Linked DNA regions of Daphnia pulex. The protein of the gene in region 1 interacts with the protein of each later gene in a pairwise test. Links are inferred from orthologs where the notes say so. Each region holds a gene or a part of one and is shown in the gene's direction. Other genes may lie near its edges.

What was found.
Region 2: the proteins of poly [ADP-ribose] polymerase tankyrase-like (region 1) and proteasome inhibitor PI31 subunit-like interact in binary tests that used the Drosophila melanogaster proteins (3 or more experiments, as listed by UniProt). The link is inferred for Daphnia pulex from reciprocal best matches to the Drosophila melanogaster genes Tnks and PI31.

What each region holds. Positions count from the first base shown.
Region 1 is NC_060026.1:4,291,981-4,297,461, reverse strand, and holds the start of poly [ADP-ribose] polymerase tankyrase-like, read left to right. Parts: upstream 1-2,299; 5' UTR 2,300-2,552; coding exon 2,553-2,751; intron 2,752-3,017; coding exon 3,018-3,287; intron 3,288-3,348; coding exon 3,349-4,562; intron 4,563-4,660; coding exon 4,661-5,481. Other genes in the region: copine-8-like, read right to left, coding at 1-72, 188-366, 429-653, 711-834, 906-1,584, 1,657-1,736. UniProt on the Drosophila melanogaster protein: Stimulates proteasome activity, probably by ADP-ribosylation of PI31. Modulates 26S proteasome assembly.
Region 2 is NC_060020.1:486,252-491,901, forward strand, and holds the start of proteasome inhibitor PI31 subunit-like, read left to right. Parts: upstream 1-1,841; 5' UTR 1,842-2,060; coding exon 2,061-2,189; intron 2,190-2,248; coding exon 2,249-2,398; intron 2,399-2,466; coding exon 2,467-2,708; intron 2,709-2,788; coding exon 2,789-2,928; intron 2,929-3,005; coding exon 3,006-3,092; intron 3,093-3,464; exon of another isoform or gene 3,465-4,129; coding exon of another isoform or gene 4,130-4,232; intron 4,233-4,292; coding exon of another isoform or gene 4,293-4,411; intron 4,412-4,496; coding exon of another isoform or gene 4,497-4,594; intron 4,595-4,686; coding exon of another isoform or gene 4,687-4,779; intron 4,780-4,837; coding exon of another isoform or gene 4,838-4,970; intron 4,971-5,177; coding exon of another isoform or gene 5,178-5,279; intron 5,280-5,349; coding exon of another isoform or gene 5,350-5,526; intron 5,527-5,592; coding exon of another isoform or gene 5,593-5,650. Other genes in the region: eukaryotic translation initiation factor 4 gamma 1-like, read left to right, coding at 1-148, 215-290, 357-503, 560-750; uncharacterized protein LOC124192564, read left to right, coding at 4,130-4,232, 4,293-4,411, 4,497-4,594, 4,687-4,779, 4,838-4,970, 5,178-5,279, 5,350-5,526, 5,593-5,650.

The sequences.
Region 1 (5,481 bases):
TGATGAAAAGTCGGCATGGCCAATTCCAACGATTATGATTGACATCGGGAGATGGGATGCAGCAATAATTGCCTAGACAATACATGAAATTCATGGATACACACATGAGTAATTATTTCAAAATTGACTCGTCTTACAAAATAATTTCGGAGTAAAAAACCATTGGTAATCTTCAAAATTAATTCACCTGCTTTGTCTCCAGCATATCAGTAATCTCCCCATCGGTAAGAATAAGGAGGATGAAATAATTGTTTCCGTTACAGTGGGATGCGGCGAAGCGTGACACATGATTAATTACTGGGGAGAAATTGGTAGGTCCGTAAAGCTGAATGCAAGGTAAACATTTCCGGTATGCTTCAATTACCCCTATTTTTTTTTAAATAATTTAGATGAATAAAATGATATGATTGTTGATGGAAAAATGTTACCATTAACTCCAAAGCAGTGTGGATTGGGAGTCAGGTTGACGAAAAATTCGTGGGAAAGAATACCGTTAGGCGGAACTTTCGCTCCGAATCCAAGAACGGGGAAATGTTTATCACTATCGTAGTCTTGAATAATTGTGACGACAGACAGCAGTGCTTGCTCGTAGAGAGTAGGCGTAGGTCCCATATAATGTAGGGAATTAGGGTTATTGGGAGCTCCGTTGGAACCTAACACAGTAAAAAGTTAAAAGTGACGACCTAATTAAATGATTTATCAACGTCTACCAGTGAAATCTATGGCAATTGTGCAGTTAATCTGAGTGCCGCTCGTGATATAATCCAAGAAAGAAAAGGTTTTAATTACTTTGGCTTCATGTAAACACAACTTTCCCACGCTTTTTCCTGTTTTCTACATTACCAGCAATAAATTCATTAGCAAAAAAAATATACAACCTTTCAACAAATCAGGATAAATCGAACCTTATCATCCAACGAGAAAGTTTTGGGAGTTTGTAGAATTCCTTGTGTGGTAGTGTGTACCTCGCCCATTAGTTTGTGGCTTCCATCTCCGTTCCAATTCCAGCACTGCAGTGATAATGCTACATCTTTTTGATCTTTTGTGCGTATCAATCGCATAGGGATAGTGAATTTTGGCCACCTTGGATTACAGTTGTCTTTTATGAACGTTGTGCGATGAACTAGAGTGTTTTCTTTATAAATGGCTAAAAACGGATCCGGTTTGCTGAGGATCCCGCTCTTTTTGAAACCCTCGGCGCTAAACAGGAATTCGACATCTTCCTTAAGTGCCCCTATTTCTTCAGCTACTATGCACAATTCTCCTTTGTTTTTGCTCTTAGGGTGATGAAGTGGGATAACAATCTTGCCAGAAGAAACTATTTGCCCAAGAGAGCAATCAGCCTCTCCCAAGAAATCATGTTTATCCAAGGCAGTACTCTTACTGTCAATATCATAGATTTTAAATTTTAACTTTTGCAGTTCTTCAAAGCGGTAGCCAATAACAATTTTTTTGGAAAACTCTGGGTTTAACGAGTTGACAATTTGCTCAGTTCTGCCATGTTCTACCCAAGATTGGCCCTGTTGAATGTAGACCACACATATAGGATCAGACTTGGAAACAAGATCTTTATTTGACAAGTTCCTGTTAAATTGTAATGAAATTTGCTGTAGAACTGAATGGTAGTGCTATATTTATTATTTGTACAATACTTACTTTGCCGAAATAGTAAGCTCCACTTCATTATTGGGATCTTGACTAGCAGTTCCAGGAACAAAGTTTTGTTGTGCCATCATGCATAAAGAGAATACTATAAAGTAAGAACATCAGATTTGAAACCAGGCAAACTGATAAAAAATTCTTATCTCTAACATGTCAAGCCCCTATCAGTAACGGCAGAAGTGTACACAACACAATCTACCATGAATGTATCATCCATTGACCCACATACTTGTTTCTCCCCACATCCCACACATATTCACATTTTTAAACTAGGTTGGAAATCAGTTCTAATCTTACTTGGCATGTCATTTATACAACTACCTCTTGAGTTTTGATTTTGTGGGACACGTTTTAAAACTATTTTGAAATTGTGTAGAAATTATATTTCATCAAGGAAGAAGTTTGGGAAACTGCATTATTTTATAATATGGTGTTTGTGTTGTTCAAATTGGTTACCTAATTGAACCAATTCGTTGTCTGTGACTGTGGTTGAATGAACCCACCCTTATTTCAGTTATTTGAAACACCATGCGAATTTATTTTTTCACCGATTTATTTCGTCAGTTTAAAATCTCAGCGCTAGATGGCTAGTTGACACTTTCTCAGCGATGCCAATAGCACAAATTTCACATTTTTATATTAGAACTTCAAGTTTTAGGTCAGATTTGTAGGTTGCTAAACATAATTTAATATTTCAGTCATTTAAAAACAATAATTCACAGTTTTTTTTAATTGAATTAAAACTACCAGCGACAAAGTGACAGCCTCCTCCTAGCTTGGAGGCACAGCTGTTTTGGTCTGGTAACAACGGGACGTTGTGTAGGACGGGTTATTAGGTGCTGAGTTGAGTGGCTTTCTAAGAAAAAAAATTGTGGAAAACTAGTGGTAAAATGGCGACGAGAAGGTCTACCTCCTCGATAAATACCGCCATAGATCTACTTGCGACCAGTCCGTGTGATCCTCTTCGTGAATTGTTCGAAGCTTGTCGGAACGGAGAGGTTTCTAAAGTCAAAAAGTTGGTAACTACACAAAATGTTAACGCCCGTGATACAGCTGGAAGAAAGTCGTCTCCACTCCACTTCGCCGCAGGTAAATAACTGTGGCAAAATAACTTTCAACTCTCTATCATTCAAGCTTTCATTTTTCACAACCTGATCTCTTCCTAAAAATGTTTGGTTTCATTCAATGAAGTTATTAGTTCCTTTAAGGTTACCCTGGTTTTCTACTCCACCAATATCACTTCCTTTTCTCTTTTCAAGTGAAATGCATCAGCATAACTAGCCTGTCGTGAAACAGAGCATGAGAGAGTGAGATCTTTACAAGTTTATGTTTATGTTTTATTTTTAAATTTGTAGGTTTTGGTAGAAGAGATGTGGTGGAGCATTTGATTGCCACTGGAGCCAATGTTCATGCTAGAGATGATGGTGGTTTGATTCCTCTTCACAATGCCTGTTCTTTCGGTCATGCCGAAGTTGTTCAACTTCTGCTAAGTGCTGGTGCAGACCCAAATGCAAGGGACAATTGGAGTTACACACCCCTGCACGAGGCTGCAATCAAGGGTAAAATTGATGTGTGTATAGTTCTTCTACAGCATGGAGCTGATCATAATGTTCGCAATGCTGAAGGTAATTTACATCATTCAAATAAATGTTTTTGCTCTTGTTTTAATGTTAATTTTATTTTTAGGAAAAATTCCTCTCGATGTAGCTGACGCCACAACACGACCCGTGTTAACTGGTGATTATCGTAAAGAGGAACTTTTAGAGGCAGCTCGGAGTGGAAACGAAGACAAAATTCTTTCCCTCTTGACGCCGTTGAATGTAAACTGCCATGCCAGTGACGGCCGCAAGTCCACTCCATTGCATTTGGCTGCTGGTTATAACCGAACACAGATCGTCCAGAGATTGCTGCAACACGGTGCCGACGTTCAGGCCAAAGACAAGGGTGGTTTAGTTCCATTGCATAACGCCTGTTCCTACGGGCATCACGAAGTGACGGAGCTGCTCGTTCGCGCCGGTGCCAACGTGAACGCCACGGATTTGTGGCAGTTCACACCGCTGCACGAAGCGGCTTCCAAAGGCCGCCGTGAAGTTTGTTCCCTTTTATTAGCCCACGGGGCCGATCCGACATTGTTGAACTGCCACGCCAAATCCGCCCTGGATGTTGCCCCTTCGCGGGAACTCCAGGACCTTCTATCGTATGAATTCAAAGGACATAGTTTACTGGAAGCGGCTCGGCAAGCGGATCCAACTCGTCTCAAGAAATTCCTCTCTGTGGACGTCATTGGATTCAAGCACCCGTACACGGGAGACACTGCCCTTCATTGTGCCGTCGCCTCCACCGGAGTCAAACGGAAGCACGTCGTCGAAATCCTTTTGAAGAAAGGGGCCGCGCCTAACGAGAAGAACAAAGAGCTTCACGCGCCGCTACACATTGCCGCCGACAAGGAGCACCTGGACGTTTTGGAGGCTCTCCTGCGTCACGGTGCCAAAGTCAATGTGTTGGACGGCCTTGGTCAAACGGCCCTGCACCGAAGCAGTCAAAAAGGACAAGTGCCAGTGTGTCGACTGCTTCTTCCATACGGCGCCGATCCCACGGTCGTCTCTCTTCAGGGTTACACGGCCGCCCAAGTGGCTACCGAATCTGTGCAGAAGCTTTTCGCCGAGCAGCCGGCCTTCAATGCCACCCCTCCGCCTGTCGATCTCGAATACCAGTTGCTAGAAGCGGCCAAAGCTGGGGATTTGGATAATGTCCGTCGTATTTTGGGCGTCAATCCCTCGCCGCAGCTAGTCAACTGCCGCGACCTAGATGGGCGACATTCCACACCGCTTCACTTTGCGGCCGGTTATAACCGCCTTGCGGTCGTCGAGTTTCTCCTCCAACACGGAGGCGATGTCCAGGTGAGAGCGAGCCTCGATGCCATACAAATGTGAGGGACGTGTATTAAATTTTACTCATCTGTTTGTTTGTTTTGTTTTGTTTTTATGGGTTATTCCAGGCCAAGGATAAAGGCGGTCTAGTTCCGCTTCACAATGCTTGCTCCTACGGACACTACGAAGTGACAGAGTTGTTGGTACGTGCCGGAGCCAGCGTCAACGTTTCTGACTTGTGGAAATTCACTCCGCTGCACGAAGCGGCCGCCAAGGGAAAGTACGACATCGTCAAGTTGTTGTTGAAGCACGGCGCCGATCCCAGTAAGAAGAATCGAGACGGTCACACGCCTTTGGACCTTGTACGTGACGGCGATCAAGACATTGCCGACCTTCTGCGCGGCGACGCCGCACTGCTGGACGCCGCCAAGAAAGGTCATCTAGCTCGTGTCCACAAGCTCGTGACGAGTCAGAACATCAACTGTCGTGACTCGCTGGGCCGTAACTCTACGCCTCTCCATCTGGCGTCCGGCTACAACAATTTGGACGTGGCCGAGTACTTGCTCGAGCATGGAGCCGACGTCAACGCCCAAGATAAAGGCGGACTCATCCCTTTGCATAATGCTTCGTCGTACGGACACCTGGACGTTGCCGCCCTGCTAATTCGTTTCAACACGGAAGTGAACGCGACCGATCGCTGGGGCTTCACGCCACTTCACGAAGCGGCCCAGAAAGGTCGCACTCAGCTTTGTGCCTTGCTCTTGGCCCACGGGGCCGATCCCCACATGAAGAACCAGGAAGGACAAACTCCGTTGGATTTGTCGACCGCCGAGGATGTCAAATGTTTACTGCAGGACGCCATGACCCAACACCTTCCTCCGACAGCCAGTTCGTCGCCCGTCTCGCCCGTCTTCAATCCTTCACCACGAGGATCGTCTATTGTCATTGG
Region 2 (5,650 bases), on another chromosome or scaffold:
TATACCAAGGGGTAGCGGCAGTGTTGGCAAGTCCAGCAGCAGTGCTACCCCCGCCAGTCAAGTTAACATCGATTTTCAGCACAGCCTGGAGAAGTACTTGAGAGACGCGACCCAATTGACTACAGATGACGTCTGTAGCTGGATTCAGGTATGAGTTCCCTAGTTTCTTTTTTATTTTCTGATTTTCATTGCCGTTTTGTTTCCCCCATTGCAGAAACAATATGTTGGTGAAGTGAATCCCGCTTTCATTCGTGCCTTGGTCACCGCAGTAACCGAGAGTTCTATTGAAGGTGAGGAATTTTTTTTACTAATTGTCGAATAACAATTTTCAATGACAAAATTGTTTGTACATTTAGGACGTGGTACAGACAGTAAACTGAACAACACTGTTTTGAAAAATCGGACGGAGGTGTTGAGGCGGTACGTTGACAACATTGCTGATCGTGAGCTTCAACTGCTTTACGCAGTTCAGACTTTAGTGACCCAGCGACAACACCCCAAAGGTATGTGCTTATAAATTGTGGCAAGATTCGATTTTCTAAACTTTTGTATTTTGTAGGTTTAATTCAAGGCATCTTCGAGACCCTCTATGACAGTAACGTCGTTTCTGAAGAGGGCTTTGAGTCGTGGGTGTCTGCCGACGATCCTTTGGAACGTGAAGGCAAAGCTGTGGCACTCAAGATGATCACATCTTTTCTGACGTGGCTGAAGGAAGCTGACCCTGAAAGCGATCAAGAGGCGGATGCCTGACCTTATGAAAAGCATATTGAGGAGCATTTGTGTGAGTGTATCGTGTGAGTGAAGGGGTGAGGCCAGAGTGTGCATGCGTGTAAGTGAAGAAGATTGGCGGGATTTATCGCCCCTAATCTTCCCTAATTACATGAAAATGAGCTGATTTTTGAGCGATAATTGTGCTCCAAGAGCACACCTGGCTAAATTTATTAATGATGTAGTTGGAATTTTGCCCCTTTATTTTCATACACCCCTTTCAACTGATTGTGTGGGCGGATTATTTTTAATCCAAGGAAGGGCAAATGTTGATATAAAAGAATCGGTCAGAGAAAAGCGAAAGGTATCGTGTGAATAATTTGTTAGTTTGTTTTTTCTTTTCGTTTCATTTCATTGGCAAATGAAAAACAGGAGAAGAATTTTTAAAATCATTTTTCTGTTTGAATTTTTTTTGTTTCTTGTATGTGTGTAAGAAAAAAAATGTTGTGCTGGGCCGGGGGCGATATGTTGATTGCATGATCGATTTACATATGATGGATAAGAAACAACAACCCATAATTTCATGGATGCGCTTTCGCTAATTGAAATGAGCAAGCAATTGTTTTGGAACGTAGAGTTCCACTCATTCTTGCTCTCGCTCCTCCTTCCCTTCCACGTGAAAGACAGTCGGTTTACACATTCTGTGAACGTGGCGGTTTTGTTTGCAACGTTTGTAACATTTGTTGTAAGACTGATACTTTGAAGGGATTTATTCATACACTGCAGTAGAAGGTTATTGATAAACTAATGTCTCAGTTTACATCCATATTACTAATACATTTATCATTACATGAATATAAACAGAAAGGGCTTCTATAATGTTAGGAATTAGGTCATAACAGAAGAAAAGCATTTGAAATTGAAACGAATGCTTAATTTGTATTTCAAATGTTGTTTAAATTCCGATTTATTATTTTAGCGTCGTCCTCTAGAAAAGGTTGATAGGGTAGGATTATTTGGAAATGGAAAAAGCTTACGTCTGTGGTAAAACTGGTAAGTGGGTGCCGAAAATCCAGAATTTATATTCCCATTCAGCAATCCACAGTTGAATAATTAAAATCAGTTAAAGACAACTCCTGTAAGGTGTATGTATCACGAATTCACGACTTCAGTTCGCTTGATGGGGATTGGAATCAAATTTTCTCTTTGATTGATTGGTTTAGTCAGGGGTTCTATGATAAATGGCAACGTCGAGTCATGTTTGTTTTGGTTTTGGTAACTGTCTTCTGGTAACGGAGTGTAAACGTTTTAAAAATTAGTTATTAGAACGTTGTACTCCAAATAGACCGAAAATGGCTTTTTTGTGGCTAGAATCGACTTTCCACAACTCTCAACCCTTAAATAAGAAGCAAGATTGTCTTGTTACTTTCGTTCACTGGAAATTGCTGTCGAATGGTTATTTGGTTTTGCATTCTAAACAGGTACGTGCATTGACACCTATAGAATCCACTTTCAAAGTTAGCTAACATTTTTCGGAAAGGGTCTGAATGTTGAAGATGCAGAGAGAAAGGAAGTACTTCCCGAAAATTGGAATTCAGAAGCAGTGTATGAACTTCAATATGTAAAAAATGGAGAACAACATTTGTTAAAAGCCGTTATTGTTGATGGAGAACTGGTTTTTACTGTTATGGTAATTATTGAATGCATTGTTTTGCTTTTCTATTAACTGTAGTTGAATCTGTGTTGAATCTTTTTCAGCGAGTTAAAGATGAGAAAGTTGCTACTCTGGTGTTGGACACAGATCGTTGGATTGGAGAGAATTTCCAGAGTTTCAATGAGGCATACAAAGAAAAAGTCACTTTGGACAATTTTGTTCAAAAAGAATTGGTGGACCCTTTCGTTGAAAAGGTGTCTTCCAAACCTTCTGGAACTTCCACCATTATCATTGATGAGAGACCACAAAGTACATCTACTGGAGCCCCTTCATACCCCTCAGCAAGGCAAATACTGCATTTTTAAGAGTTTGATGCCTGGGTTTCATCTCTTTAGTCATTCATTAATGTATATTGAAACATTATAGTTCGTTCCCTGATCCGTTTGCTGTCGGAGGAGGTGATTTGAATCCGCTGGGAAGAGGACTTGGAGGTGGCGGTATGCTAATGGACCCTCGTCACATGGGCCGACGGCCACCATTGGGTATTCCAGGGAACCTTCCTCCAGGTATTTGGACTTGATTGAAACATTTTCTAAAAATAGGTTAACATAATTTTAACATGTATAACGTTTCCGCATATCAGGAGCTGTCCCGCCTGGCGCGCGATTCGACCCTTTCGGTCCGATTGGTAATATTCCTCCCATTAGAGGACCGAGACCAAGTGGTGGAGGTTTTGGCGACCCTGATTTTGATCATCTCCCGCCTCCTGGATCGCATGACATGTTTATGTAAATACATTGTCCAAAATTACGGTTAGTGGGTTGTGTGAGGCGGATGAAAAAGTCGTAATCAGTTTGAAGAATCTAAAAGTGTAAGCAAATGTATTGCCCTGATGTGTTGTAACAAAGGAAGCGTGTATCGATCGGTTGTTTATTTTTCACTTGCCTAATACAGAAATTACAAAGGTTGAATAGTCTTGCCTTTATGTACTTATAAGTATTTTCTGTATCATTTACCTTTGTTCTTTATCTTAAGACGCTTGATCTAAAAACCTGATTATCCAAACCAGAAAGGACTAAGAATATTCTTGAATTACCTAAAATCAAACAACAAAAAGATGCGTGTTTCGTAATTTCACGTTTCCCAACCATTTTTTATTTGAATCCAGCGTTGTGTTATGTCGCAATCGGCCTACTCAACAGCGACGTGTGAGAGATTATTCCTTATATTATAGTTTAATCGCCAGGTAACCACTTGATGACTCACTACGTACAATTTTAACGAAATAAATTCTTTCTGAATTTTTTCAAGTCGTGTTTTTGTTCGCTGTAAGTCGGATCATGAAGGAAGAAAGGAGGAGGAGCGACTCATAAGGCCCTGCAGGCAACAGTTTCGAGATGCTGCAATATATTGGTTTCTTTTTTCGTTACTAGATGTCGACATTAGCCTTAGCCCGAGACCCCGAGTAGCCCTCCTCCATTCCTCCTTCATGGTAGTAAAACGTGGTTTTTTCAAGATTCTGTAACGTTTGTTTACCTTCACAGACGTTGGATGCTTTCTGTCCTCTCTAGTATCAAAAGTTTTGTAGAATATAACGATTGAGTCGGTACCGTATTTTCCTGTATAAGTGTATCAAGCTACTGCGTACTGGTTATTGTGCAGTGCTGTGCCAGAGTGAGACTCCTTGTCTGCCTAGCAGCGTTGATTCTCACTGTACATGTTAGTCGACTGAATCCGGAATTGTGACCATATGTATATGGTATAATCATGGGTGATCGTGATTCTTTGCCTGCTAACTTGAAAAGTATGCAACCATATCTGGATATGGCCACTGATTACGAATCCATGGACCCTTTCATTAGTTACTGGTGTAATTAAACTCTAAATCTGGCTTCACATCGATTTAGATTTAAACTGTTTTCATTCATAGGCCGACTGTATGTTCTAAAGCAAGGATTTATCCTGGCAAGAGTAGAAGATCTTCCATTTTTGCTCGTTTTAATGGAACTTTTGGAGAAGAACAAACAAGACCTGCAATCTAAAATAGAGGTAAGACTTCAAAAATCAAATTTTTGTCAACAGTTTGTTTAAATCAAGGCAATGTTTTTTTGTTTGTTATTTTTGTTTTTTACAGACTACTGATATACCTGCTGCTCGAGCTCATCTTCAAGGTGTGGTCCAGAAGTTGTTAAGCTGGGCAGAAAATGTGCCGCCTTTGTTGTCATTAACTAAGTATGAAAAAATTATTGTGTCACATTTATACTGCATATGTTTGTTTTTGAAGTCCTAGCTGTTGATTTTGTATACTATTCTTATTATTGCAGTGTTGTTGCTAAGGCATTTGAGTCTGCTGGAATGCTGCTAGATGTGTGCTCTATATTCGGAGAGCCAAATGAAGGCGAATTCGAGAAAAAGAAGTAAACTAGTTGCTACCATAGTTCAATTTATATTGCCCTATTGCTAACGACGTTACAGGTTTACCGACCCACATCAAGCAAATTTGCACAGCGAATTCCAATCAGAGTCGACCACAAAAAAATCAAACATTCATTCCCAAGATATTGGCAAGTTATCAGGTGGAATTTCCGGAGAACTCCAAAATGATGAGGTATAATGACCATATTTTCCTTGCTGCTCTCTTCGTTCCCGCCCTTGATGTTGTTTAATCATTGAATGCGGCAGATAAGAGTGCTACATTAATTTGCCTATCTGAAAACTGAATTAAACTTGGTTTTTTCCTAATTTCACATTAATTATTAGCTTACAATGCGCATCAAATTAAATCGATAGTAATTTTATCATCGTTTCTTTTCAGGGTGTGGCTGGAGCTGAAAGAATATTTATCATGTCGAATGCACCACTCACCAGTGTTTTACCATCTGGTGTTGACCTGAATGCATTCCTCGCTCAACATAAGGTAATTTTGAATTGTAGTTTGACAACCTTCCTCGAATTCGATTAAAAATGTCTTGCATTTATTGTTTCAGGAACTCGAATTCCTTTCCAAAGTCGATTCTATACCAAGGGGTAGCGGCAGTGTTGGCAAGTCCAGCAGCAGTGCTACCCCCGCCAGTCAAGTTAACATCGATTTTCAGCACAGCCTGGAGAAGTACTTGAGAGACGCGACCCAATTGACTACAGATGACGTCTGTAGCTGGATTCAGGTATGAGTTCCCTAGTTTCTTTTTTATTTTCTGATTTTCATTGCCGTTTTGTTTCCCCCATTGCAGAAACAATATGTTGGTGAAGTGAATCCCGCTTTCATTCGTGCCTTGGTCACCGCAGTAA